3 linked regions of the Canis lupus familiaris genome follow. The protein of the gene in region 3 purifies or fractionates together with the protein of the main gene of each other region. This does not show direct contact. Links are inferred from orthologs where the notes say so. Each region holds a gene or a part of one and is shown on either strand. Other genes may lie near its edges.

Evidence for each region.
Region 1: the proteins of LYN (region 3) and PLCG2 purify together in Homo sapiens (affinity purification with western blotting; 3 studies listed by BioGRID, with this or other methods). This does not show direct contact. The link is inferred for Canis lupus familiaris from reciprocal best matches to the Homo sapiens genes LYN and PLCG2.
Region 2: the proteins of LYN (region 3) and ANKRD54 purify together in Homo sapiens (affinity purification with mass spectrometry; 3 studies listed by BioGRID and IntAct, with this or other methods). This does not show direct contact. The link is inferred for Canis lupus familiaris from reciprocal best matches to the Homo sapiens genes LYN and ANKRD54.

What each region holds. Positions count from the first base shown.
Region 1 is NC_049226.1:70,668,299-70,677,589, reverse strand, and holds part of PLCG2 (1-phosphatidylinositol 4,5-bisphosphate phosphodiesterase gamma-2), read left to right. Parts: intron 1-767; coding exon 768-853; intron 854-2,067; coding exon 2,068-2,188; intron 2,189-2,516; coding exon 2,517-2,685; intron 2,686-4,255; coding exon 4,256-4,360; intron 4,361-5,323; coding exon 5,324-5,413; intron 5,414-5,994; coding exon 5,995-6,170; intron 6,171-7,777; coding exon 7,778-7,978; intron 7,979-8,890; coding exon 8,891-9,010; intron 9,011-9,291. UniProt on the Homo sapiens protein: The production of the second messenger molecules diacylglycerol (DAG) and inositol 1,4,5-trisphosphate (IP3) is mediated by activated phosphatidylinositol-specific phospholipase C enzymes. It is a crucial enzyme in transmembrane signaling.
Region 2 is NC_049231.1:27,790,368-27,800,438, reverse strand, and holds the start of ANKRD54 (ankyrin repeat domain-containing protein 54), read right to left. Parts: upstream 5,592-10,071; 5' UTR 5,539-5,591; coding exon 5,217-5,538; intron 3,631-5,216; coding exon 3,583-3,630; intron 1-3,582. UniProt on the Homo sapiens protein: Plays an important role in regulating intracellular signaling events associated with erythroid terminal differentiation.
Region 3 is NC_049250.1:7,825,777-7,835,615, forward strand, and holds the start of LYN (tyrosine-protein kinase Lyn), read left to right. Parts: upstream 1-5,174; 5' UTR 5,175-5,256; intron 5,257-9,839. UniProt on the Homo sapiens protein: Non-receptor tyrosine-protein kinase that transmits signals from cell surface receptors and plays an important role in the regulation of innate and adaptive immune responses, hematopoiesis, responses to growth factors and cytokines, integrin signaling, but also responses to DNA damage and genotoxic agents.

The sequences.
Region 1 (9,291 bases), on a different chromosome or scaffold from region 3:
GAGGAGAGAAGTGGATGTTGCACTCAGGTTTCCCATATTTAGTCTGTTTGTAAGACGAGAAGGTGTAAGTCTTGGCCTGGGCATCTGGAGAGCAGCATATTGCTACCTTCCCAAGTGTCACCACAGGCAGGAGTCAGAGTGAAGGCATTTTAGAAGGTCACGTCTTTTTCAGGGGCAAATTGGTTGCATGGTTCTCTGTTTCCCGCCATGTCCATTGGCTTAGAGAGCTGACTTCTAGCAAATCCAGAGGACAATGAAGGAACATGAATTCTTAAAAGGAGAGGCTACAGATGTGAAGAGGAGAAGGGTGTATACAAATACGCATTTATATGTCCGTTTTGGTAGACATAGTTCAAAGTAGTGAGTTCAAGACCCGTGGGGCCCTGACACCAAAATGGTGGCCCATCGTTGGACTGAGAGCCTAGTGGACACCATGGGGCGGGTAGGATCATTAATTATCATATATCTGATTCACTCCTGATACCCTTTGACCGAATTCTCCTCCAAAGATTATGCAGTCTTGAGTCTCGATCTTTCCCTTGGATTGCCAAGGTGGCTGCTGACCAACCACATCCTGCGATTGTGGCCTCAGCCTAAGGCTCATGACTGGTATGGCCACATGATTACTTATGTCTGGCCCAGATCCTGACCATAGATCTTTCTAGACAGGAAGAATTCAAGATGTTGGGCACTTGGGCTGAGAAGTTCCCCAAAATGCCCCAAGGTGCCGACCTCCGCACACATGGCCACTGCCTTCTCTCCCTCAGGTACCTCACCGGTGACCAGCTACGGAGTGAGTCATCCACAGAAGCGTACATTCGCTGCCTGCGGATGGGCTGTCGCTGCATTGAGTGTGAGTACCATTTTCCTGGTGGAGATGATGCTTATGGCGAATTGAGGTCTACCATGTAGCTGCCCAAGGCTTTCGTCTGAAAGGCCTGAGTCCTGGGAATGCATGGGACTGGCCAAAGGAGAACCCAGGTGCCCATAGCATCTGGAGTGGGGGATGTGGCCACCAATGGCCAGGGACCTTACCCCAGAAGATTTCCCCCCAGGACAAGGAGTGGTGTCGAGCCTGGCCGTGTTGGAGTCAGAAACCCTTGAGTAGCGATTTTGGGCATCTAGAGAATGTCCCGATGTCGTGGCAGGGCTGGGACACCAGTACCAGAGATGGCTTTGTTATACTGCTTTCCTCCTTCAGCTTCACTTGGGCTGTTCTTAGAGGAAGGCAGGAGCTCTCTGTGATTTTTGCCACTGGTCCAGCCATGGATGCCACCCTGCCTGTTCTATTCATAGTTGCTCAGAGACACCTGGGCACAGATGATCCAGGCCCTTGGACATGTTCAGAAGCCTGCTGCTTCCTTCCGTCCCACCCCTCACCCTCCTGGCCTGACTGTGCCACCGAAGGCCTGCAGGTGTACTGGGCTGAGAAAAGGCACAGAGGCCTGATGTGGGCTCCAGTTCTATCGAACACATTCATCATGGCATCAACTTTAATAGCACTTATTCCTGTGGATGGTTGCCTAGTGTATGGGCCCTCCTCCAGGAGAAAGCAAATGTGAAAAAATTAAGTTTGAAACTGTCAGCTCTTGTTACCTCTGGGGGCTGAAAATAGAGGGGATGTTCACCTTCTACATAATCTAGTTCTGTTTGAATATTTTACTATGAACTTTAAAAAATAAATATCTCATTGCTCTGTGTTATTTCCACTAGCGGAAAAAGCAAGCCAAGTGAAATCAGAAAAAAAATCCTACATTATAAATGTCTTTTAAAAAAAGGAAACATTGAAACTAGTTTCTTTTGGACAGATGTATTGGGGACCTTTAAATAAGCAACCAGAGCCTTCCTGTCACCGCACAAGTAATGGTTGTTCATAAGTAATGCGGACCCTCGTGTTTCTGGCCCCTGAAGATAATTATTGGGTGTGGGCCCCATGTCCTAGTAACTGAGCCATGTGGGGGTCAGGGCCAAGCTCACAGACACCCACCAGCAGCGTGACTGCCGTCACTGGACTCTCGAGGTGCAGAGTGATGGCCAGATGTCGAGACTACACGTTTCTTTCCTCAGTGGACTGCTGGGACGGGCCCGATGGGAAGCCCATCATCTACCACGGCTGGACACGGACCACCAAGATAAAGTTTGACGACGTCGTGCAGGCCATCAAAGACCATGCCTTTGTCACTTCAAGGTTGGTTGGCTGATTTCCTGGTGGTTTGTCTTTAAGGGAAAGGTGGACAGACACAGACGCCCCTCATCCCCGTGTGTCTGTCTGTCTGTCTGTCTGTCTGTCTGTCGCTCTCTCTCACACACACACACATACACACACACACCCCTACCTGCCTGGCCTCCATCCTCTGGTTCACTCCCAACAAGTCTTCAGCTGAGTGTTGGCGCCCCCTACAGGCCAAAAGCGCAAGTCCCTCCCTGGTTCTGGAGCCTGGAGGAGGCTGGTGCTGGGAAACCAGTGACCTCTGCCCTCCTTCCCGCTGAGCTGAGCTGGCTCCTCCTGCACACAGCTTCCCCGTGATCCTGTCCATCGAGGAGCACTGTTGCGTGGAGCAGCAGCGCCACATGGCCAGGGTGTTCAAGGAGGTGTTTGGCGACCAGCTGCTGACGAAGCCCACGGAGGCCAGTGCTGACCAGCTGCCCTCGCCCAGCCAGTTGCGGGAGAAGATCATCATCAAGGTGGGTGGTCTTGGATGGCCTGACATTCAGGAGAGCCAGTGGCTCAGAGCACAGGCTCCTGGTTCCACCACATGAACTAACACCAGCTCTCCTTACTAACTCCCTGAGCGACCCTGGGCAAGGTCATTTAACCTCTAGGTACCTCTGTGTCCTCACTGGTCTTGGGAGGTTAATAGTAGAGCCTGCCTCATTGGCTGTGAGCATAATGTGAAAAAATGTGTGCAAAATGCTTAGGATTGCATCTGTCCCGTAGCAGGTGCTCTGTAACTATTAACTGTCATTCGTTGATTCTTTAGGCAAACCTCCAACATGCTCTGGTCTAAGTCAGGTCTCTGCTGGGGGTGTGCCATTGACCCGGGCTCCCCTCTGGCCCTCAGGAGCCCCCAGTCCACTGTGTGAGATGGGCATGGACTGGAGGTGGACAGTTGCCCCAAAAGGTTGTGTGTGCTTAATGGGATGAAGGAGGAGGTGCATGCCAAGTGCTGTGGGGAGAGATGAAGGATCAGCCATGCCTGAGAGTGCCAGGGATGCTGGGAAGGGGGGTGAGGTCTGGGGATCTGTATTACTAGGACAAAGAGACCAGATATACAGTGACTGAGAGCATAGAAGAGGTCATTTCTTCAAGTGTTCTAGACGGTCTGAGCTCTGTCTCACAAGGCTATCAGGGGACCTGGTATCCTCTTATCTTTTTTTTTTTTTTAATATTTTATTTATTTATTCATGAGAAACACAAAGAGAGAGAGAGGGAGAGGGAGAAGCAGGCCTGCTGGGAGCCTGATGTGGGACTTGATCCCAGGACCCTGGGATCATGACCTGAGCCGAAGGTAGATGCTCAACCACTGAGCCACCCAGGTGCCCCCCCAGAACCAATGTTTATAAATACTTGCCAGGGTGGGCGTCAGTACGCATCTGGATGAAGGTTGTTGTGGTCGCTGTCTTAGTCTTAAAGATGAGAACTATGAGAGTCAGAGAAGTATAACCACCTGCCTAGGGTCACCGAGCTGATAAAGCAGCTTTAATCTGCATATCCTGTGCGCAGTCCACAGCCCTGCAGTCTGGGCTGCCAGACTGGCTATTCTTGCCTTTCCCTCTGTGTGCCAGAGAATGTGGGACGTGCAGGCGGTATCACTGATCCACTGAATATTTACTGAGCACTTACTATCTGCCAAGCTACCAGAGGAGATTCAGCAGGGGACGACACAAAGTCCTGTCCTCATGGGGCCTATATTTTGTGGCAGGGAAGACAGAAGACCCAGACATAGATACACAAAGGGCCAAGAGTATGGAAAATAACTCTCAGGGATGAGAGAGTGACAGGGATAGGAAGGGAGGTGGGGGCTCTTTTTAGACCAAGTAGTTGGGGAGAGCTCACTGGAGGAGGGGACACTGAGCACAGAGCTGAATGTTGTGAGAGAGAAGGCAGGTGGAGAGAACAGGCAGTGCAAAGGCCCTGAGGTGGATGCTGTGGGTAGATGCTGGCTGGCTGGCTGATGTGGATGAATGCTTGCTAGCTCAAAGATCCTAAACTTGGGTCTTAAGGAGACAGGCTATGTGTATTTTTTCCCCTCAGCATAAGAAGCTGGGTCCCCGAGGGGACGTGGATGTCAACATGGAGGACAAGAAAGATGAGCACAAGCAACAGGGTGAACTGTATATGTGGGATTCCATCGACCAGGTGGGTCTCCTTGCACCCCTTCTCAGAGCCTCGAGCGCATCTGAGACCTACTAGAGAATTCTGAGAATATTCCTCTCACTCCCGTTTTGACCTTTTTTTTGTATCATTAATAGTTTACTTTGAAATAATTTTCTATTCCACATAGCATACTACACATTTACACATACACACAACAGATTTTTTTATATGGCCTTCACTCAGCTTCCCCAAACACTAACATAACATAACATAAACGTAACAACCAGAGTGTAATTACTGGAAATGAACTTTGGAGCAATACTACCAGGTGATCCATGGACCTTACCAGTTTGTCCTCTGATGTCCTTTTTCTGGCCCAAGGTTCAGTCCAGGATGGGAGAGTGCATCTGATTGTTCTAAGTCCTTAGTACCTTTCAGTCTAGGTACAAAACCTTATTTTGGTGAGAGGAATGCATTTTGAGTGCTAGTGCCACTTCTCACATCCCTTAACGTAACATACAAATCCATTTAGGTCTATTTTGAAATCTCTATTCTGACATCCTAGAAATAATGAAAATTATTAATGTTTAAAGAATTAAGTCACAGATGTTGAAGAGTCTCGAGACAAACTGGTTGGGAAATCCTGAAAGTCCTAAAACGCAGATGTAATAGAAAAAGACAGTCATGAAACCCCAAAAACATTGCCCTCCTTCATAAAAGGCTTCAAATTAAATAAATATGAACTAGAAATTTGATACTTAGTTGTATCTACCCTTAGACACACTGAATAAGAAAAGTCCTGAAAATGCCAAAAGAACCCAAAAATAGATATTTAGAGGAAACGTCTTGAAGGGAATTGAATTCCATGAAACCACCATAAACTCTACGAAAGTGGGAAAGGAGCATCCCTCGTAAATGCTGGGGTGATGCCAGGCAGGGCTCCTGGCCCCAGTGGTGTTGAGGGCAAAGGCTGAGGGGAGAGCTGATGCTGGGTTCCCTTTCTAGAAATGGACTCGGCACTACTGTGCCATCGCCGATGCCAAACTGTCTTTCAGCGATGACATTGAGCAGACTGCAGAAGAGGAGCTGCCCCAGGTAGGGGAGACCTCCTAACCCGTGCTCTTTCCCATGGCCCATGGGCCAGACATCCTCAGCCCAAAGAGCTTCCTCTTTGGGTACCAGTGTCTGCCTGGCTTGAGCCAGCTCTTCTCTGATTGGCTGGCTGACCAACCAGTGAGCTTTGGGGGGGCTTTCCTGCTCTCTGAAGGGCCTGCTTGGCCTGTGCTCTGGGTGAGAGGGGAGGACATGTGGATGCTCTGGCCAGCCGGCTTCCCCACTTCCCTGCCCTCTCCTCTGGGGCTGCTGGCCGTCCTTGGTACTATTTCTTGAGTGCAGCCCTCAGGGCATTATGGCTCTCAGACTCCTTGTGCAATAGAGTCAAAACCTGTACCCGGGACCTCTTAGCCCATGTCTTCGGGCTTCAGGAGGACACCACCACCAGTGGTGGCAGGCAAGGGAGGGCAGTGGAAGCCATCTCTCTAGACCTCTTGGGGTGAGGGCAAGGTGAATCCAGCCTGTCTGCTGTTCAGCCCCCGAAGCCAGCATGCACAGAGAGACCAGTCTGGCCATGCTGGGGGGGTAGGTTTTTACAAACTCCTCGTCTCTTTGGGGCCCAGGACACACCCCCCACGGAGCTGCATTTTGGGGAGGAGTGGTTCCACAAGAAAGTAGAGAAGAGGACGAGTGCCGAGAAGCTGCTGCAGGAATACTGTGCAGAGACCGGGGGCAAGGATGGGACTTTCCTTGTGCGGGAGAGCAAGACCTTCCCCAATGACTACACCCTGTCCTTCTGGTAGGGGCATGCCACCTTCCCCTCGCAGCTGGCCGGGTGGGGGGCCTATGTGGCAGGTTGTGTGATCGAGCTCAGGCCTAGACCCGAACCCCAGACTTCACTGAGGGATCCGTGCAGGGTGGGGTGGGCCAAGGCTGGTGAGGCTCGAAAAACTTAGCAGCAATCAAGATTAGTGATATTTCAATGCAATATTTTTTAAAAATTAGAGGTAGTGAAAAATCCACGATGAAGACCTTATCATCAATGTTTTAAATAAAGACAGGATCTAACTCTGCACTAAAGACAATGTGGCCTCACTCACACCCCCACCCCCTCACTAGAGCAGGTGGCTGCCCCTGGGTAAGTCACTGAACCTCTTGAAATCTCCATTTCCTTGTCCCTAAAATAGAGATTCTAAAGGTGGCTTTATGGAGCTGTCTTGAGCTTCCTCACTCACTCACTTAGTACCTTCATTCATTAAAAGGTTTTTTTTTTTTAAGATTTAAAAAATGTATTTATTCATAAGAGACACAGAGAGAGAGGCAGAGATATAGGCAGAGGGAGGAGTAGGCTCCCTGCATGGAGCCTGATGCAGGACTCGATCCCAGGACCCCAGGATTACCACCTGAGCCAAAGGCAGACGCTCAACCCCTGAGCCACTCAGGCGCCCCCATTCATTAAAGGGTGTTGGTTGAGTGATTGCTCTGTGCTGGGTGCAGGAATCAGACAGACGGGATGTCCTGATGGAGATTAAGTCTGGTCAGGGAGATAGTGAAAAAGGAATCAATGATCTATAATTGTAGCTGTGATAAGTGCAGTGAGAAAAGTGGTGGACGTTCTAGAAGTCCGTAAGAGAGGGAAGGTAACGTCAAGGGCGGCAGTGATCAGGGAAGACTTCCTGTAAGAAGTGGTGTTTAAATGAAGACTGGAGGGGATCCCTGGGTGGCTCAGCGGTTTGGCGCCTGCCTTTGGCCCAGGGCGCGATCCTGGGGTCCCAGGATCGAGTCCGGCATCGGGCTCCCGGCATGGAGCCTGCTTCTCTCTCTGCCTGTGTTCCTGCCTCTCTCTATCATAAATAAATAAATAAATCTTTAAAAAAAAATAAATGAAGACTGAAGATTATAACATTATAACAGCATACGGCTACGGCTATAAAACACTGACAGCTAACACCTACAGGATGCTTGCCACGTGCCAGGCGGCATTCTAGGCACATTTTGTGTGTGATCAGTCCTCAGGACAGCTCAGTGGGGACGGACCGCAAAGATGATAATGTGGAGGCCCGGAGAGGACAGGCCGCTTGGTTCAGGGTCATTCAGCACATAAAGGGCCGCGTCAGGATTTACCCCTAGGCCATCTGGCTCCAGAGTAGGAGTTATGAAAGTGAATGTAGGTGGGGGAGGTAGGTAGAATGTTCTGGAATCCATGTTAAAGGACCAGCCTGTGCCAAAGCCCGAGCCTGTTCTAAGAGCAGAGGGAGGGCTTTGGGGCCACACACGGTGCCTACCCGTCATGGCCCTGGCTGCAAATCTGGCCACCCACCACCCCCACCCCCACCCCCACCCCCACCCTGGTGCGGGGAGGGCCAGGGGGCCCGGCCTGGGGGCTCATGTCGTCTCTCCCTCCAGGCGGTCCGGCCGCGTCCAGCACTGCCGGATCCGTTCCACCGTGGAGGGGGGCACCATGAAGTACTTCCTGACTGACAACGTCATGTTCACCAGCATCTACGCCCTCATCCAGCACTACCGCGAGACCCACCTGCGCTGCGCCGAGTTCGAGCTGCGGCTCACCGACCCTGTGCCCAACCCCAACCCCCACGAGTCCAAGCCGTACGTGTGCCCGTGCTCTCGGGGCCGCCGACCTCAGGCACTGACCCCACGGGTTTAGGGGGTGCAGACACCCCCACGGGCTGTGTTCACCCATCAGAAAAGCCAGCCTTGTGGGTCCCCTGGGATCTCTTCAGCCCCCTGGACGGCCAGTCCCCAAGCACCTGCTCTACTTTCTCTTGCCCTCTGCCTCCCCCTGCCTTTCTTCTACTTTACCGTCACCGTCCTGCACTCTTGGCTTTGATTTTCAAAGGGGAGTGTTGGCCGGTGAGAACTTTCTGCTTGTCGAGGCTCATTCCTGTTCGTTGTGAAAGTGAACAAGAAGAAAGTCACTGTGCAGATTTCCCCTTCATTTTGTTATCGAGTAAAATGTATACAAGTTATGCCTTGCAAGGGGCTAACCAACTCTGGAAATAAGAGGGGGAAACTATGTTTAAGCAGAAGGCTGCTAAAATGTGCATTTCTGACAAGCCTTGTAGCTTCCAGCAGCTTTCTTACTTTCGTCTGTATTCGTACAGATGGCCTTTTAAAATTTGCTGTTTCATATCTTTAAAAGTAACCAAGGACGAGCCAAACAAAAAGACCTTCCCAAAACACTATTCTCTGTGTTCTCTGCCACCGATTTTCTGAGACTCTCCACAGTGACTGATGCTGGCCCTAAGTTAGGTGGATGGGGGCAGGGGATGGGGTACAGTCTCTCATGCTCCCAGAAGACCCACTATGTGAATGCTTTAGCTGAGCTACATCTTGGTGGTCTTTTAAAAAATTGCTGTCTTGAATGGTGTTTTGGGGTGGGGAGGCCCTCTGTGTAATTTCCACAGTGGTTTCTGGGACCCCCTTCCAGGCAGCATCAGAGCCCAGGGCTTCCTCCTCCCTGGGTGGCCCTCTCACCTGGCTGTCCTCTTTGGGCTGCAGGTGGTACTACGACGGGCTGAGCCGTGGGGAGGCAGAGGACATGCTAATGAGGGTGCCCCGGGACGGCGCCTTCCTGATCCGGAGGCGAGAAGGTACCGATTCCTACGCCATCACCTTCAGGTGAGTGGGCGGGCCGGAGCCTGCACATGTTCGCCAGCGGGGGCCTGGGAAGGACAGGTGTGTTGGGGGGAGGGGCTGCAGGTGGAGATGTGCTTCCGCGTCCACTCCCAGAGGGTCAGTAGTGATGATGATGGCAGTGGTGATAGCAAAAGCGGCCTCCGCTAATGGGAGCTTTCAGCATCTGGGGCACTGGTCTGCGTTCTTGAGAGTAGCATGTGTTAACACGTTCTATCTTCCAGCAACTTGATGACTTTGATCCTTATTGTTCAGAGGAGGAAACT
Region 2 (10,071 bases), on a different chromosome or scaffold from region 3:
CCTCGACAACCCGGCCAGGTGTCGTGTCCATTTAGCAAACCAGGAGAAGAGTCCTGGTCTGTAGAGTGGTACACTCACCCAGCTACCAGGAGGCAAAGCTGTGATGTAAACCCAGGCTTCTCTGGCTTCTCCGGCTCCAGAACTTACAAGAAATACATAACTTTGGTTTTTCTGGAGGTTTTGTTTCAGAAATGCTATCACTTTCTTTCTCTCCAATTATATTGTAGATTTTTTGGTTTTATCTTACTTAATACCTAGGACCTGGGTGGCTCACCAATTTGGCGCCTGCCTTCAGCCCAGGGTGTGATCCTGGAGTCCCAGGATCGAGTCCCACGTCAGGCTCCCTGCAAGGAGCCTGCTTCTCCCTCTGCCTGTGTCTCTGCCTCTCTCTCTCTCTCTCTGTCTCTCATGAATAAATAAATAAAATCTTAAAAAAAATAATACCTAGGACCATGATCGAATTTGTTCAGCTCCATGAACATTATTGACTAATTGAAGAAATGAATGAAGGTGATAGGAAAAGGTTTATGAGAGTCGAAGAGAAAGAAGAGTTTCCAGTCAGCTCAGGACATTCACCAAAAGACAACCATACCAAAGAGATAAGATAAAACTAAGAGTCAGTTCTCTTTCATGATTTGTACAGTTACAGTCTTATTGGAAAGCACTAGAAGCAGCATCTGGCAGAAGTCATCGAAATATGCATATCTTTTGATGGGATAACCCCATACACCTGGTTAATTATCTTAACAGTGAAAAACTTGGGCTCGGTGGGTGAAGCAGGTTAAGTGGGTTAAGCGTCTGACTCTTGATTTCGACTCAAGTCATGATCTAAGGTCCCTGAGATCGAGTCTTGTATCGGGCTCTGTGCTGAGCATGCAACCTGCTTAAGATTCTCTCTCTCCCTCTTCTTCTGTCCCTCCCCCACCCCAAAAAGAAAAATCATTCTGCAAATATATGACTAACTCTCACTTTGTTCCTCTGAAGACAGTGGGCAACCATTACAAATTGTGATTATAACTGGAGAATGGAATTATGAGATGATTTCTGCTTTTTACCTTATAAGCTTCAAAAAGTCATATAGTCATGTATTTATTCTGTAAGTAAGGAAAAAAAGAGGTTTCCATTTTGAAAAAAAACGAATGGTTACAAAGACTATGAAAAGTTATATGGGCTACAAAATTGTGTATCCGGCACAGTTTGCAAGTCCATAAAGAAAATTTCTCTGTATAGGAAAAAGGATAAGGATAGTCACCAATATATATACAGAAATTAGTTCCTTTGCTGATTATGGATGTTTTTCTTGCATATTTCTCTCATCTTCCAAACATTTTAAGTGTGTATGATTTTCATATATATGAAAATATATTATGATTTAACAATAGCAAAACATCAGTTTTATGTCCACTATAATTGCTGAACACACCAAAACCCCAACAAATGTGTAACAAAGGAAAAGGAAATGCAAACCATAACAGAAAAGGAGTAAAGAGGCTAACCCTACAGCCAAGGTCACCGTCAGCAAAAGCCTGATCATTCTGACAGCCATTTAGATATGAACGTGGGTGTGTTAGAGACTCTGACTGGAACATTACAGTATTTCTATCAAAACACTGAAACCACCATGTGAGTACTTGATTCAAGATGAACTAGGCTTTCTGTGCAAGGGAAGTATAATTCAAACAATCTCTGGCCACACACAAGAGGTATTAAAAAGAGAACACTTATCGTTTTTCCTTGAAAAAAAAAAAAAAAGCTATCTAGGTTGCTGCTCAAATATTCGAAAATGTTAAAGTTCATGGAAAAAAGACCAAAGTGAAAAGAGTTAGCCCTCCAGCTGCCAGGCCTGCTCACCATGCTACACCAGGGGTAAGGGAACCATCTTGAGGCCCACAGTTTAACACCCAGCCCCCTGAGGTAAACGACTTCCTGTCTGTGCTGGCTGTAAATGGGCTCTCTGATCCCATGGCCCTCAAGCGATGCTCACAACTTCTCTGTTGACCACAGCACAGCACCACCAAAACAGAATGATGGCCACTTGAGGCAGGTAGGATCACAGCCCCCAAGATGTCCATGCCCTAATCCTCAGTTTATTGAATAGGTTACCTTATGCAGCAAAGAAGACTTTGCAGATGTGAATAAGGTTAGGCACCTGAACTAGGAAGATTATTCTGGATTATTTAGGATAATCACACTAATCGCATAAGTACTTAAATCATAGTCCCTTTCCCTGCTGTGTGAGCCAGAGAGACAGCGGTGTGAGGACTCAGTCCATTGTTGCTGACTCTGAAGATGGAGGGAGAAGACTATGAGCCAAGGAATGTGGGTAACCCCTAGAAACTAGAGAAGGCAGGGAAACAGAGTCTCCCCTAGAGCTTCCAGAAAGAAATGCAGCCTGGCTGACACCTGACGTTCAGCATGGTGAGACCTGTGTTGGATTTCTGACCTCCAAAATTATGTGCTAAGAAATCTGTGCTATTAGGGATCCCTGGGTGGCGCAGCGGTTTGGCGCCTGCCTTTGGCCCAGGGCGCGATCCTGGAGACCCGGGATCGAATTCCACGTCGGGCTCCCGGTGCATGGAGCCTGCTTCTCCCTCTGCCTATGTCTCTGCCTCTCTCTCTCTCTCTCTCTATCATAAATTTAAAAAAAATTTTTTTTTAAATTAAAAAAAAAAGAAATCTGTGCTATTAAAAAAATAATACAAATTCTTCAAAAAGAAATTTGGGTTGTTTTAAACCAGCATGTTTGTGGTAATTTGTTGCAGCAGACATAGAAAACTAATATATGGATATGATGAGAAGCTTTCCCCTAGGACTTGTCCTTGTACCTCTGATGCTGCTACTCCCATCAGCCAATGGACACTGGAGAGCAACCATGCACACAAAAAAAAACCAGGGTGGTGTCCTGCTAGGAGCCCCTCTCATTCCATTTGGGTGTTCCGTCAACTAAACAAGTTTGAGAACCATTGACCCAACTACTGCAAAGCCTCAGTGAGCATTGAAGGTGGTGGTTCTGTTCGGGTGGTGGCTCTTCTGGCAGTTAAAGTTGACTGTTCGTTCCCATTAACCAAAACTTCTAAAAAGCTCCTACCCTGCTGCTCGGTGCCAGAGATACAAAAGCAGACATGGTCCCCACATCAGGGAGCCCACAGACTGAAAAACACTATGACATCAGGAAGTTCAGAGTGACAGGGAAGCATGGGAAGAGTGAGCATCTGAGCAAGACTAATGGGACACCTGGGTGGCTCAGTGGTTTAGCGCCTGCCTTTGGCTCAGAGCCTGATCCCAGGATCAGGGATCAAGTCCCACATTGGGCTCCCTGCAAGGAGCCTGCTTCTCCCTCTGCCTATGTCTCTGCCTCTCTCTCTGTGTCTCTCATGAATAAATAAATAAATCTTAAAAAAAAATAAGCCAGACTTATCTCTTGTAAGATGAATACAGTTACATGATATATATAGTGAGCCTAGTCCAGGGTGTGAGCTGGCATACTGAATTCAAGCACTGTCTTCCCAGGAATTGGTTGCCTGGATTTTTCTTTTCTTTTCCTAACCAGCCGGTGGGGCCAGACCTGCTTTGCACACTCACCTGTTTCCACGTCATTGGCATTGGCTGAGTCCCTCAGCCTCTTCAGAGCTGTGAAGAGAGCAAGAGAGCTCCAGTTAAAAACAAAATAAAACAGGAGCACCTGGGTGGCTCAGTGGTTGAGTGTCTTCTTTCAGCTCAGGACGTGATCCCCAGGTCCTGGGATGGAGTCCCATATGGGGCTCCCCGCAGGGAGCCTGCTTCTCCCTCTGCCTGTGTCCCTGCCTCTCTCTCTGTGTGTCTCTCATGAATAAATAAATAAAATCTAAAAAAATAAATAAAACAGTCATGATGAAGCAGAGAGTGGATGGCTTCCTAGTTGATCCACCATTCACCCACAAGAACATCTAAAGGGAAGGAAAGGCACCAGGATACAAGAGACGCTACCCTGGGAACAAGAAAAACTTGAAATGTATCACAGCTACACAGTGCAAAAAGCCACTTTCTGTAGCAAATCCTTCAAGGTCTTTGGAGCCAGATCTTGGCTCTGGCACTTAAAGTAGCTGGGTGACCTTGAGCAAGTTAGTTAAACCTCCTGGGCCTCAGGTTTATCATCTGGGAAAAAAAAAAAAAAAAAAAAAAAAAGGTTGAGCCCTATCCTGACAGCCCCAAGTTGTTGCAATTATATTCTCCAAAAGAGGCCATTCCCAAATAACTGAGTTAAATTTGGTAATTCCGAAGCAGAAACGCTTTTCTCCTATAAGGACGCTACCTCTGTATTAGAGAACAATGCCTTTGTCATCGGAGGGATGGTCAAAATTGCAAGCAGATACATTTAATGATTCCTTACTTCTGTATAGCCCTTTATGCTTTACACAGCACGTTCAAATTTTCATTTAATCTTAACAGCATGACTTAGATAAGGGTGGAATCACAGATAGTCCTAGAAGGGACACTAACATTTCCATTCTTAAATCTTTCAAGGCATTGGTTTCCGCGTCATCCCCAAATGTAAAAGACAATAGAGCCCACACACGAGCAGGAGTTTGACCTGGCCCATGTGGGTTGATGCCAGCACAGCCACTTTCTAGCTACCGGGGGTTGGAGCAAGGCAATCTCTCCGAGCCTCAGTTTCCTCTTCCATATAATGGGAACAGTATCTGGATCTCACTGAGTTACTGTGAGGACTGGAAATGAACACATGCCGGCCCAACAGTGTTTGGCACACCACCAAAGCAGGATAACCTGTACTGATTCACCCCCTGACTTAACTCCGGCAACATCCCCGTAAAGCAAGTATTGTAGTGGTTTACACACGGAAAAACTAAGGCTGGAAGTTTCTATAGTTTGCCTAAGGCTTCGAGGTAGAGGAGTCCAATCCCAGTCCGTGCAGTTAAAGGAGTTGCCGGAGCTTGGCCACAGGCTCCGGCCTCCCCCCCTCTTTGACGCTAAAAGCGTTCGCCCCAACACCCCCCCCCCCGCCCTTCTTTTTTTAATCTACTAAGAAACGCCTGGAGTCCTGAAAAGTTTCTGTTCAGGAATCCCCGAGCGCTTAAAGGCCGTCCCCTCCAGGTTCGCGGTCCTCGGTGCTCGCGGTCGGCGCGGGCCCGGAGCTCAGCCGTCCGCGGACCCGGTCGCGAGCGGCCGCGGCAGTCGGGGCCCCCGGGGTCCCGCCGCGGTCCCGCCGCGCTGCTCACCGTGCACCTCCTTGCCCGTGGGCCCGAGCCGCCGGTGGGGCCTGGCGCGCCTCAGCCGCCCGGCGGGGATCTTACGGCGCAGCTCGTCGCGGGGCTCCGCGTCCTGCTGCCACAGGACGTGGAGGTAGCGCAGCGGGGACTGCGCCCCGCCGGACGCCCGGCCCGAGAGGCCCGCGCCGCCGCCCAGCGCCGACCCGAAGTCTGCGAAGGAGAAGAGGCCCTCGCGGCCCGTCAGCGGCTCCGGCGCCACGGCGCACTCGCCGTCCGAGCTCGAGCGGCCCGAGCGCGGCTCGTCGTCCGCGCCCCCGTCGGCGGCTGCCATGGCAACGGCTCTGCGCGGGCCTGGCCGCGGGAGCCTCGTTCCGGGCCGACCAACCGACCCGCTTCCTCCGCCCTAAGCCTCGCTGTCAGCGGGCGAGCGGGCGGGCCGGGCCCGCAACCACGGCAACCGGGAGGGGGCGGGCTCCCGCCGCCAACAGCCAATCGGGCGTGGTTCGGGCGAGAGAATTGGTTTCCGGCGGCGTAATTGACGGACAGAACAACCAATCGCAAATATTAACCGCCCACGCCCTCACCGTACGTCGCCACCGGAGCCAATAAAACAGCTGAGTTTAGGACACTTTTTTTCTCTCTCTCTCTCTCTCTCTCTCTTTTTTTTTTTTTTTAAACTCTCACCAACTTCCCGAAAGATAACGGGCAGATGCTTTAACCAATCACCTCAGGGGAGCTGCAGCCAATCACTGAGGAAAGCGAAGAAGCCGCCCTCCAGGGATAAACAGGGCTACATTTTAAATCGCGAACGAAAGAGGGGGGTCTTCCCGGTGGAAGTGCGTAGTGTAAGAAAGTAAGAATGTGTCAACGTTTGGGGCTCTTCCGCAAAGGGGGGAGTAATAGCTTCTGAAGCGGAACGATCCCTTTGGTGAGGGTTCCAGTCACTGACTTACGAAGAATTTTAATTCAACGTGACTGCCCCACAGCGACGCCGCAGTCGGCGAGCCGGTCACCGAGCCAGGAACCGTGTGTCCAGGGCGCAGGCTCAGCCCCGCCGCCCGCGCCGCCCGCGGTGATGCGCACAGCCCACGGGACACGCAGGGGCTCCGCGCGGCGGACCGGCCCCGCGACCCCTCTCACCACCCGGCCGCCCAGCAGGACGTCCATACGCTGGACGAGGAGCGGGAGGAGCGGACGCCGGACACCAGCGACTTGCGTGCGGATGCCGCGCGCCCCGGACCACGGCCTGGGTCCAGGCGAAAGTTCTTCCTTCTCCCTCAACCCACTAAAAATGTAATCTTTCCCCTGACAGTTGAAAAACACCTTCAGAATTTGCGGTGCTCTCGGAACACCACCGTGAGGTTTCTCGTGATACTGTGTGGAGAAAAGCGCTGTTTTATTTGATCTCTGCCCCACGTATGCCTACTCCCCTTGTGGTTACAAGGAAACCGAGGAAAGAAATGAACACCGAACACGCATCGCTTACCAACTGCTTGATGTATTTTATATGATTTCTCCCTCACAAGAACCTTAGCAGGTAGATGTTATTATACCCACTTTGCTCATCAGGAAATTGAGGTCTGGAGATGTTATATGAACCCATGTACAGGATTAGAAAGAACTGGGATTTGAGCCCCTCAAAGTCCTCTCTTTCCACCATACTGTTTTCTTTAATGAAGAGCCTGCTGGGAACCTAGTTCCAGAAAGCTTAAGGGACATCTGGGTGTTTATACCTTACTCCTGCTGAATGTATCTGGAAATAACTTTATTATTCATTCCGTGTAATAACCTCCAAAGTTGTCTTCATCCCTCCAGCCTCTCTTTGTAGAATTCAAGGTGCATATGCTGGCTAAGGTACAATTCTTTTTGTGTCTGTAGGATCTGCCTACCCAGGTTAAAGTGCAAACCCGTTATTCTAGCAGTCAGCCGTTGTCTTCCGCCTACTAGTGGGTCCGGTCTTCGAGCAATCTGGTCAACTAAATATGTGTACATGTCACAATCTTTTCATTTGAACAGACTCTCTAAACATTTGGAGTTAATTGTTACTTCCCATTTTAAAAACCAACTTTGTTGGCGTATTAATTATATAGCCCAACCTTCCAGTGTGTTTCAGGAACCACTTGTTATTTTGGATTAGAAGAATGGGATGTGTGTTGAATGTGAATCAAGTTATGCTAAAGGCTTTAGACTGGAACTTGAGCTGTATTCCCCAAAATGCCTGGCTCAGCAATGGGCACCACTGCATTGTAACTATTTGGCTGACTGACCCATTGACTGACTGAATGAGAAAGGATAGTATACCCCAGTGGTTAAAACCATCAACTTTAGAGGCTTAAGAATGTGGGGCTATGGCTTCAAGCAATGACTTTACCTTTCTGAGCCTCAGTGGAGGTATTAGTAGGACCTATATCATGTGGTTATCACAAGACTAAGTGATATGCTGTGAGTAAAGCACAGAGCTTGGCCCAGAGTTAGTGCTCAAAAAATGGTAACTATTGCCATTATTATAATAAATAAGGATAGGGGATCCCTGGGTGGCGCAGCGGTTTAGCGCCTGCCTTTGGCCCAGGGCGCGGTCCTGGAGACCCGGGATCGAATCCCACGTGGGGCTCCCGGTGCATGGAGCCTGCTTCTCCCTCTGCCTGTGTCTCTGCCTCTCTCTCTCTCTCTCTGTGTGTGTGTGACTATCATAAATAAATTTAAAAAAATTTATAAATAAGGATAGGATGCAAGCTATGGCCCATGCAGATCCTATGCAACATTAGGCCCATCACACTGGCTTGAACTTGACCTATGACCTATGAACTTGACCTTGAACTTGACAATCATTCATACTAGTCCTTTTTATTCAGCTAATCAGCAAATAAAATATGGAGTACTTGGTGGGAGACAAAGAAAATGCCTATAATGCTTGCCTTGTGGGAAAAGCTTCCACCTGGGAATCCAGGACTTGGGCTCTAAGTCCCGTCTGGACCAAACTCACCTCCTGATTTGGAGTTAAGTGTTTCCTTTCTTTAGGCCTCAGTCTTGTCTTCCTGTAGGAAGGTATTATTCTAGGTCAGATATTGACACCGGCTCAGTTCCAGATTCAGTAGGACTTTCCTTTCATTTTTCTCTCATTACGTTGGCCTGCACAGTATTTTAGAGCAATCTGAACTGAATGCCAACATTTAAAAATGGAGAACTTTTATGAACATTAAAAAAAAAATCTCCAGATTCTTTTTCTTTTTCTTTTTTTAAGATTTTATTTATTTATTCGTGAGAGACACAGGCAGAGAGAGAAGCAGGCTCCATGCAAGGAGCCTGACGTGGGACTCAATCCCAGGTCTCCAAGATCATGCCCTGGGCCACTGGGGCTGCCCAAATCTTCAGATTCTTTTAAAAACGGGAGATATAGCAACACAGGACCAGCCCTCCCACATGGCACATGGGTGCCTGCAGACAACTCTCCCCTTTAGATGGGATATAGTATTGTGGTTTGCCACAGTCCCCACCACTCCCTCCTGAGCCTTATAGGCAGTTGCCATTTATTGCCATACTTCTGCTGTTGTTTTTCTTAGGCAGAGCTAATAGGAAATTAATATATTTCTTGTCTTCATTAAATGTGGAATAACAGCAACGAATGTGGAGGGAAATGATCTAGTATCTGAAAATATGTCATATGGTGATTGCATGCCTTTTTAATAGCATGCTAGAGAATTGCTTGTAAACCCACATAAGAGCCATCTGACTCTCTAGGGAAATCTAACTTTGACAGCAATTGATTAGCATCCAGTGACGTTTTCCAACTCTGTAAAGTTAGAAGTTAGCTTGTAGGAAACTGATAAGATGCAATAATTTTTGCACGTCTGATGAAGAAAATAATCCCAAAGATTATAGTTTTATTATCCCATAGGGCATGAAGTATGATTAGCAATTATAATTCAGTATTCCTTTTTTATACATATTTTTAAGATTTTACTTATTTATTCATGAGAGACACACAGAGGCAGAGACATAGGCAGAGGGAGAAGCAGGCTCCCCCTAGGGAGCCCGATGTGGGACTCAATCCCAGGACCCCGGGAGACCACCTGAGCCAAAGGCACTCAACCACTGAGCCACCCAAGTGTATTCTTTAACTCTTCAAATTCTTTCCAAACCAGCTCTGTCATATTGTTGGTTCCTTCATTAGCAAATAAATAACCTTCCTCTTTATTGTATGAGAATTGTATCTTTAATTTCTTAAGGGTATTAATCTTTTGTCATTGTGTAAGTTCCAAAATTGTTTTGGTTATTTGTTATGTTATTGTTAATTATAATTTAAAAATCACATTTATTGAGATATGAATTACCTATAGTAAAATTCCCACATTTGAAGTGCGCAAGGTTGATGATTTTTGACAAATGTATATACTTAGGTTAACAACCACCCCAGTCAAGATAGAGAACATGACAATGTTATATATATATATATAAACAATTAGAGAGTTGCTCTTTTAGGCTAGAAAGGGCCCTGTGTTTTCAGAAAAGAAAATAATTATTGAGGTACCTGGGTGGCTCAGTTTGTTAAAGGTCTGACTCTTGATTTCAGCTCATGTTGTGATCTCAGGGTCCTGGGATCAAGCCCCATGTCAAAGTCGGCTTGGGGATTCTCTCTCCCTCTCCCTCTGCCCCTCCCTCTCACTCATGCTCTTTCTCTCTGAAATAAATAAATAAATCTTTTTAAAAAGTTATTATTTAGGGCAGCCCGGGTGGCTCAGCAGTTTAGCGCCGCCTTCAGCCCAGGGTGTGATCCTTGAGACCCCGGGATCGAGTCCCATGTCTGGCTCCCTGCCTGGAGCCTCCTTCTCCCACTGTCTGTGTCTGTGCGTCTCTGTGTGTGTTT
Region 3 (9,839 bases):
CATCGCATGAGAGATTGGCGGGGACCAAATGAATGTGAATGCAGTTTTGGGTTGAAGTTCAAGTCAAATATTGAAGGCACATTTACATCCCTTTTATTATTTCCCCACTTAAACAGCTTTTTTGACTCATTAGTCCCCAGCGCGTCAGACGAGAGGCCTTCTAATGTATTTTATTAGTAACATTGGTGGTAGGCAGAAAGTCATTTGTTCGGCAGCAATACCCATATTTTCTCAGGATGTTGGTTGGGGCTTTTTCCCAGAGGTTCCCCATCTTGGCTGCTCATCAGCACTAGCTGGGGAGCTTAAAAGTCTCTGATGATTGAGTCCCTCTCACCCCACCCTGTGAGTTTGATTTAATTATCTGGGTAGGATTTAGGTAGGTGATTCTCATGTGCTGCCAGGCTTCGGCACCACTGCTCTGTATTATTTGCTACTTGGGCCTCAGTCAGTTTCCATGTTTGCAAGAGTCAGATGAAGAATCTTAGGCTCCACTCTGTCCCCTCCGCAAAGCCGACCAGGAGGCTTGTGCAGACAATCTGTAAGAGTCTCTGAGTTGTCTGGAGAAGTCTGAACTCCTGGAACGCAGCTCCCAGAAAAGTGAAAGGGGCATGGGGACAGTCCACACCGCAGCAATGGGATGAGCAGCAGGTCAGATGACAAGATGGCAGGTAGGATGACACGCATGAAGGTGTATGCTGAGACTGGTCATTCTCATCAGTCTTGTCATTGCCACGACATACATATGACCATGGAGATTGTATTGAAGGAAAATTTTCTTGAAGTCAGGCATTTTGTTTTCTTACCACACTGTGGATATCGGGTTGTTCTTATGCACAGTTGATTCTCATTATTTGTGATAATAACAATCTATAAAGTAGCCACAGACAATGAATTAGCTAATACTAAACCACTGTTTCTGGGAGGAAGACAGGGTTCAGTTGCTGAGAGCCTCTGGCCATTGCATGCTCATCAACTGATGGATAAATGACCTTGTTTTGAGTGCTTCTGTTGAGAGACAGCTTATTTAATATATAGTGTTGACTTGCTCACCTTGAACTCACAGCCAACAGTATCATAACTCATGCCTGAATAAAGCTTCTCTAACACATGGATTTTCTCCATAAGGTACATCACAGCCTTCTTGTGCTCAGGAACACTAGACAGTACTGTGCCCAAGGGCCATTTTACACAGTGAAATCACCAACAAAAAGCACAAAAATGCAAAAAACATGGCACTAAACAAAATCACCAAAGGACACTGGTTTATGGTACAAGAGCTTAAACAAGAAGGCAGAACTTCACCTTATTTGACCTCTGCTGGGAACGTCTGCATGAGGAGACAGAGGTTGTCACTGCTATGCTCAGGTCCATGCATGGCTATGAAAGTACTGTGAGTATGGATGTGGGGGTTACACTTAAATTTTAGTGAGTCCGTGAATTTGCAGATAATGGAATTGAGAGGATATACATAGCTGGTGCCATTTCCACTACTTCCTCCTCTTGTCCTGCCCAGTCATACCCCCACCTTCTCCAAAAGTCTGCTTCCCCTGCCAAGAGGGATCTTTGTTGATTTGCAGTCTGCTTCTGATCATTCATCTGTGTTCAATTCCCAACTGAAAATACCCTTGACGCAACTCAGTCCATCAGTCACTGACCCAACCAGTAGTCATCAAGTATTTTAAAGCCCCTAATAGAACTTTTTTGTTTAAAGATTTTATTTTTAAGCAATCTCTACACCCAGTGTAGGGCTCGAACTCATAACCCCGAGAACAACGGTCGCATGCTCTACCGACTGAGCCAGCCAGGCACCCCCTAAAGTACCTAATAGAATTTTTGACAAGTGCAGTGGGAAAGAGACAAATACAAGAAGCAATGGCTTCCAAAGAGGGGTTTGCTATTTATCAGCAGTTGAGGACAGAAAGCTACCCTGTGAAACAAAGGCAACCATGTTGGACAGGAGCTAAGTCTAGTTTACCAAGAATGTCGCACACTGCCAAGTGCTCTAGATATCTAGAAAACAACGATTCCCATGGAGTCTTTAAATAAAGCTTTTCCAAAACATGGAACTTTCATGGCACTTATGGAAAACAAATATAGAGGGTGAGTGAGGAAGTATTCAGTATATATGAATGCAACCTGAGAAGTGGGAATGAACATTGATTTTCCCCAAAAAAGTAAGAATAAAGAGACAAACTTAGGCAGGATGCTTGTATGTAAGGGGCCAGACGTGGTTAGAGCTGAGTGCAAGCCTAGCTCTGCCTGATGATGCTTTGTTCCTTGTTCCATCAGACATTTTACCAAAAAACACTGACAGGACATTCCAGATGGATTAACCAACACTAAACATCTTGCATCCCAGTCACATGCCTTTTGCCAGGATCTCAAGGACTTGTTGGTAATAGTAGCTATTTTAATTTAGGGCCAATATACTTGAAAGGTCATCCTGAAGAAAGGTCCAGAAAATGGACTCTCAGGTAGTGAATTATTCCATAGGACCCATGACAGATTCCACTCATTCATCCACTACCTTCCAACAGGTAACCCATCCCTTCCTCTTCAGCAGGAAACTAAGCGGCTACATACTAGTGAACGTCACAGGTATAAACCATCCTACTTCTTGTTTTTTGAGGCAGCAGATTGCAAACCTTGGCTGTCTGTTACCAGTAATAAACTACTGCTGTATAGGATTATGTTAAGGTGGCCACTCGACCGCGGGACCGTGGCTGTAGCCTCAAGGGGAGCTAGCCTCCTGAAAATGTTATTAATAACCCACACTTATAATAACCAAAGTAAGAATATACAGTGGGGAAAAGACAATCCCTTCAATAGATTGTGCTGGGAGAAAGAAATGGTTATATGCAAAAGAATGAAATTGGTCCACTTTCTTACATCATACACAAAAATAAACTCAAAATGAATTAAAGACCTAAACTGTAAGACCTGAAACTATAAGAGTCCTAGTAGAAAACAGAGACAGTAAACTTGGAGCTCAGCTAGAGCCATCTTTCTAGACGTGTCGCCTGAGGCAAGGGAAATAAAACCAAAAGTCAATTATTGGGACTACACCAAAATAAAAAGCTTCTGCACGGCAAAGGAAATATTTTAATGAAAAGGCAACCTCCTGAATGGGAGAAGATATTTGGAAATGATATATCTGATTCAAAACACAACTCAATGCCAAAAAAACGAAAATGATCCGATTAACAAACGAGCAGGGGACCTGAACAAATAGCTTGCCAAAGAAGACATACAGATGGCCAACAGACACATGAAAAGATGCTCAACTTCACTTATCTTCAGGGAAATACAAATTAAAATCCCAATGGGACAGCACCCCACACCTGTTAGAATGACTATAATTTAAAAAAGGGCAAAAAATAACAAGGGTTGGTGAGGATGTGGAGAAAAAGGAATCCTTGTGCACTGTGGGTGGGGATGTAAATTGATGCAGCCCCTGTGGAAAACAGTATAGAGGTCCCTCAAAAAATTAAAAATAATATGTACATATATACACACACAATAGAACATTATTCAGTCATAAAAATAGAACGAGATCTTATCATTTGTGACAGGGATGGATCTAGAGGGCATTATGCTGATTGAAATAAGTCAGACAGAGAAAGACAAATATCATATGATTTCACTTATATGTGGACTCTAAAAAGCAAAACAAATGAACAAAGCAGAAACAGACCGCCAAACAACAGAGGGCAAACTGATGGTTGCCAGAGGGAATGGGGGTGGGAGGATGGGCAAAGGAGGCGCAGAGGAGTGGGAACTAAGAGGCTTCCAGTTACGGAATGAGTAAGTCAGGGGGATGAAAGGTACAGCACAGGGAACGCAGTCAATGGTATTACAAGAGCGTTGTGTGGAGACGGATGGCAGCTACACTAGTGAGCCCGGCATCAACGGACAGGCTGGTTGGATCACCATCAAGGTGACAGTGTAGATCAAGTATACCTTGATTTAAAAGATATTTTAAAAAGAAGAATCACAGAAAAAAGGAGAACATGTTAAAGGAAGGTAGTCAATCTAAAGCGGTTAGCACGATGCCCGGCACCCGATAGGCCCGGTGTGTTTGCTATTATTAATACAAAGACTGAATCTCCTCCAGGGCGCTGTTTATTTCCAGGGAAGTCCCACAGCGGACTGTAACGCTGGGAGCCCAGCGCATCTCGCTTAGAGCAAGGGGCCGCCGCTGTGACTGGGGCTAATATCATAACCTTGGGTACGTGTGCGGCATTTACTGGGGTTGGAGCCTGGGCTTGACAACCCACAAACATCGATTATGCGCTTGCTGTGTGCCAGGCAGTGCGCTCCACGCGAGGACGCGGACAGCAGCGGAGAACCGCGGCTGTGCGCTGGGCACGGAGCGAGCCCCTCGCGGGAGGCATTTATTCCTTCCTCCCAGTGACGCTGCGAGGTAGGCACCCTCATCTCCATCCTCCTGGGAGGAAATCGAAGTCGTGAGGCACTGAATGATTGGGCAGGCCGTTCTCCCCCGGCCTTACACCCTGAAAGTCCCCGTGTCCCCCGTGAAGGAGCTTACTCTGCACCCGCTACTAAGCGCTCCGCGAGACCCCGGCCTCCGCTCCGCACCGCATCCCCCTTCCCGAGCCCTCCAGATGTCGGGGATCCGAGCGCGCCCCGCCCCCGCTGCCAGGGGCTCCCGGTTCCCCAACACCTTACGGCGAATCGGTTGGAAAGGAAGCAAAGGAGGCGCGCGCGAGAGGCTCTGCCGCCGGGCTCCACGTCCGGGCTCCACGTCCGGGCTCCACGTCCAGGCCCCGGAGGATGCCCCCGGACGCTCCTTCCGCCCCCGCTACGGGAGGAGGTCGGACCCCGGCCGCTCCCCTCCGCGGAGCCGCACGCCGAGGCGAGGTTTCCCTGCCTTCAGGGCGCGCGCGACGGCCACACCGGAGACCCAAACCTTGGGCAGGGGCCAAGCGGTCACTTCCCCGCCTCCCGGCGCGGTATGCAAATCCGAGCACCAGGAAGTAGCTGGGACCTCTCGGCCGAGCCCAGCGACAGCCAGTTCCTCTCCCGCCGCTCGGGGCCGTCCGCCGCTCGCCCCCTGCCGTGGCGCCTCCGGGCCCCGCGCGCGCAGCCTCCGGGCCGCGACCCCGCGCCCCGCGCCCCGCGCCCGCAGCCTGCCCCGCGCCGGCCCCGCCGGGCCGCCCCGTCGCGCCCCCCGCCCTGCGCTCGAGTCACCGTGGAGCGCCGCCGCCGCCGCCCCGCAGCTTGCAGCCGGAGCTGGTGAGTGCCCGGCGCGGGCCCCGCCGTGAGGGCGCCAGATGCCTCCAGCCCGTGGGTGGCCGGGCCCTGGGGCGCGGGGGACGCTCCGCAGGTGTCTCCCCGCCGCGGCGCGCAGGGGGGCGGGGGGGCGCAGGGAGGGGCGCGGGGGAGGGGAGGCGCGGGGCGGGCGCGCCGGGGACCCGGGACTCCTCGGCTCGCGCGGTCGGGTCTCGCCGCGGGGCCCCGGGCTCCCCGAGGTGAGGGACGGGGCTCGGCCCGGGCTCCCCGCCAGGCCGGCGGGCGGCTGCGCTCCTCGGGAGCCCCGGGCGGAGCGTGAGGTCGGGGGGCTGCGGCCGAGGCTGGTGCGCGCCCTCCCGCTGAGCCCGGCGCCTCCCGGCCGGCGGAGGAGCAGTCCCGAGCCTCCCGCGGCCCAGAGGAAGCGAGAGTTATTTTAAGAATTCAGGGGTTGCCTTTCCTGCGCCCTGGGGGGAGGGCGTAGGCGTCAGTTCCCGCTTTCCTGCGTTATCTTGGCCACTGCGGCATCTCCTCCGAGCCGCGCATATATGTTCCCACTAATAGCTGACGTGGTCGTCTGGTTGTGTTTCCATTTCTCCGTGTATCCGTGTGTGTGTGTGTGTGTGTGTGTGTGTGAGAGAGAGAGAGAGAGAGAGAGAGAGAGAAGAGAATTATCACAAACCCACCCAACTTCTTTGCCAAAAACCCCAGTTGAATTTGGGCCTTCCAGTTTTCTAGCTGAGTGTCAACCTGGGCCTATTATTGAAATTACCTGTATGGGTTTTTTCGTCTCTGGGAGAACATATTTACCTTCTGAGCTATTTATTGCATGTAAAGCCCCGAGTGCGTACATAGGCATTTCATAAATGGCGCTGTTATTATTTATTGCAGATAATTCTTTTTTTTTTAATTTTTTAAAAATGTTTATTTATTTATGATAGTCACAGAGAGAGAGGCAGAGACACAGGCAGAGGGAGAAGCAGGCTCCATGCAGGGAGCCCGATGTGGGATTCGATCCCGGGTCTCCAGGATCGCGCCCTGGGCCAAAGGCAGGCGCCAAACCCCTGCGCCACCCAGGGATCCCTATTGCAGATAATTCTATCCGTTAAAACACGGTTCCCTGGTTCTTCACAATTTGTTGATTTTAAGTCTAAGACTACATGTCTGATTCAGCCAACTGACCTTCCTAGCTAGTAAAGCTGCTTAATAAATACACCAGAGGTCTGCTGTCTGCAAAGCTAGGGTCTGGGAGTCTCACGCTAAGCACTAGTTAATGATGTTTGACTTACTTCTGATTTGTTGGCTGCCCCCCAGGCTGGCTGCCTGCAGAGCTCAGGAGGGCAGGCCTGTTGTCCCCGTATCTTAAAAGCTAAAGCACTGCAGAGGGTAATAGGCACTGAAAGAGTATAGGAATTCCCTAAGTCCCCAGAAGCCCTTCCTAAGTAAAGTAAACTCTGCTGGAAAAGGGTGGGGTTCAGTTAGTCCTGAACTGAAGGTTTTCCTTTGAAGGTAAGGAGGTAAATGTCTTGAGGCTCTTGGTGACCTGGCTTCTTTGGATACAGAGTGAGGTAACTCTCTTCCTGAGCGAAGTGTAGAGGTCAGCCCATGTAAGGAAAGAAACAGGCTCTGGAAAACCCACGTTTGGGTCTCTCCCATCATTTACCAGAACTGTGATATGGACTAAGTTGGGTAAATGCCTTGGCCCTTTGATTCAGCTAACATTTCCTTCGGAGCAGTATTCAGTTATATTCTGATTCGTTTGCATGTAGAGTCCGTATTCACCACTGCAATGAAAGGTGGGTGAAAACGACTTTGTCTGTCTCGTCCAAAACACTAGCCCCAGTGCCTATCACAGTCCAGATTACTCGGAAGAGGGAGTGAAGTTTGGCTCTGAGTTTGGCTCTGTGCAAGGCCAAGGAACAAGGTGGTGGTTTCTAAAGCATTTGAACCTGGCCCTCTCTGTCCCGGTTTTTAAAACAGGGTTATTGTTGTTGTTGTTTAAGATTTTATTTATTCATGAGAGACACACAGGGAGCCTCTTGTGGGACTCGATCCTAGGACCTTGGGTTCACGACCTGAGCCAAAGGCAGATGCTCAGGTGAGCCACCCAGGTGCCCCTAAAACGGGGATTTTTGACTGTCAAGTTATCCCAGTGTCAGTGTTCTAAGTGGTAATCTCTACATAGGAAAGGTTATTGGGGTGTATCCCTGGGAGCAAGGGCTTGATTTGGAGTGATGTCATGTAGCCTGCAAAGGGAGTTTGCCCAATCAAAAAGACCCACTTTATCTTAGAGCTGTTGGTGTTGCCAAAATATGTGAAGACTTTGCAATACCCCTGCACCCCCAATGGCATTTTTTAGCAGAAAAGTGGTCCAGTTTTGTGAATCAGTGACTCTCTAAGCCCTTTAGTTTCTTTATATTTGTTTTAAAAATAAATCACCAGAACATGAGATACCAGTTGGTTCAAATGAATATATAGAGTTGTAAGTTAACAACATTAAGCTATACTATCCATAAACAAACCCATACAAATGTGAATTAGTATAAATAAGAACACAACAGTGTACATGTCTACAATAAGTATTGTTACATCTAGCTTACAATACTGATCTCAATGACCTCCACGTCCTCAGGCATGGATAATATTAACAGTGGAAGGTCACTACAGTCATTAGTTGGGACATTGACCGATGACACATTGATGACAATGGTGGTCTCACCTCTCTTGGGCTCTACCTGGCAATGACTGCTCACACCTTTCGCTTGTCAGAAGCTCTGAGCTCTGATTCCTGAGCTCTGATTTCATTTGAACCTCTCCTGGATCCCAGGGTAGGCAGGGACAGGTACAGAAAAAAGAGGTTTGGTGTCTAAGGTTACAGACCTGGTTAAGTGGCACTACTGGGCAGAGCAAGTGTGTTTTCTGCTCCAACTTTAGAACGTTCCCCACTTTTCTGCCTTTGCTCTGGTGGTAGGTACTCAATTACATAAAAGCAAAGAAATGATCACTTAATAAACATTATTAAATAGAGAACCACAGGGTAATTTTCTTCTATCACTTGATAATTGCACCATCAAGTAGGGCACTTAAGGCAAGCAAACTGAGGGAGATGGGTTTCTTTGCCTTTCAGTGTGCTTCCTGCTTGGGGAGGGGCTTCCTGCTTGGGAAGCTTTGGGAGGGGGTGGCTCTGATAACTGCCAGGGTGACACCTGTATTGGCTCTTGCCCAAGCGCTTCCAGTGACTGCCTTGGGAGCTATCAGGGCCTATTGGTTGATATAGAAGTGTGCAAGTAATACTTTACCAAAGGATTGCCTCCAGCCGCTGCTAGAAGTGTCTCCCATGAACCCTACAAGCCTCCTTGGGTGGTTGTTATAACAGTGAGAGCATCATTTGAGGTGAAAACATAACGTAGGGAGACAGGGCCCATAAGATACTCGTTAAAGCATGCACTCCTTTACTGAGCACCTGTGATGGGCCAGGCACCCTTCAAAGCCCACACTTCTACAATGGACACACATTGCCTACCATCTTTAAAGATTGGTGGTGAACAGAAGGGCATAGAAGAGGAAGTTTCTTTTTTTTTTTTTTTTCCAGTCAGAACTATTGAAAGATTTCTTACACCTGCCCAGTTTCCTGATACTTAAATTGTGAAATGTTGAGTTGACTCTATCATCATTTCTGAAATTTATTTTGAGTAAGTTCCCATTTAGGGGAGAAGCCCAAGTGTAGGAAATGTGTGGGAATCTGCCCGTTGAGGAATTAGAATTTTTGGAACAGCCCCATTTAAAGACTTGGACCTTCTTTTGGATGTCTTTGTTTACGTTAGCTGGAAGGGCTGTCATGTAATTTAGAATAGCAAGTTCAGATGATGACTTGAGATGAGGTGTTAGAAAGGTACGTCTATGCCGATCAGTTGCAGGGCCCAATAATATAGCCTTTATTTTTTGTTCTTAGACTTTCTCTTCAATCTAGTTCTCTGCTTCACTTTCTTTAGTACTTAGTAAGCTGTCAATGTTCATTATTTGCCACAAAGCTATTTCTTGGAAGTTCTATTTACCATCAGGATGTAGTTTCGTTTGTATAGAACTTTTCCAAAAGGTTGATTGTTTGACTGTCTTTATGAACAGTCACATAGTCCCAAGTCTCTCTTCTCTGGCCCAACCTCTCACAAGGTCCACAAATCATGAGTTGCCGTGATAGGAGCTGAACATTTATGGGAAGAGATTACTGATTCATGTCATGGTAACTGTTCATTTTTCATGATTCTGACTTATATAAATGATGTTTCATCAAAATATATGAATGAGGAAACCTTATAGAATCCATCTGAGGGTGTATTTCTTAATGCTATAGGCTCTGCCCCCATTGGGTTGTAGAACACTGGGCAGCAGTCTCCATTCTCGTAGCTTAGAGGGTCTTTTATTATTTTTTATTATTTTAAAATTTTTTATTTATTTATTCATGAGAGATACAGAGAGAGAAGCAGTGACATAGGTAGAAGGACAAGCAGGCTCCTGGCAGGGACCCCAGTGCGGAACTCGATCCCAGGACCCTGGGATCACGACCTGAGCCGAAGGCAGATGCTCAACCA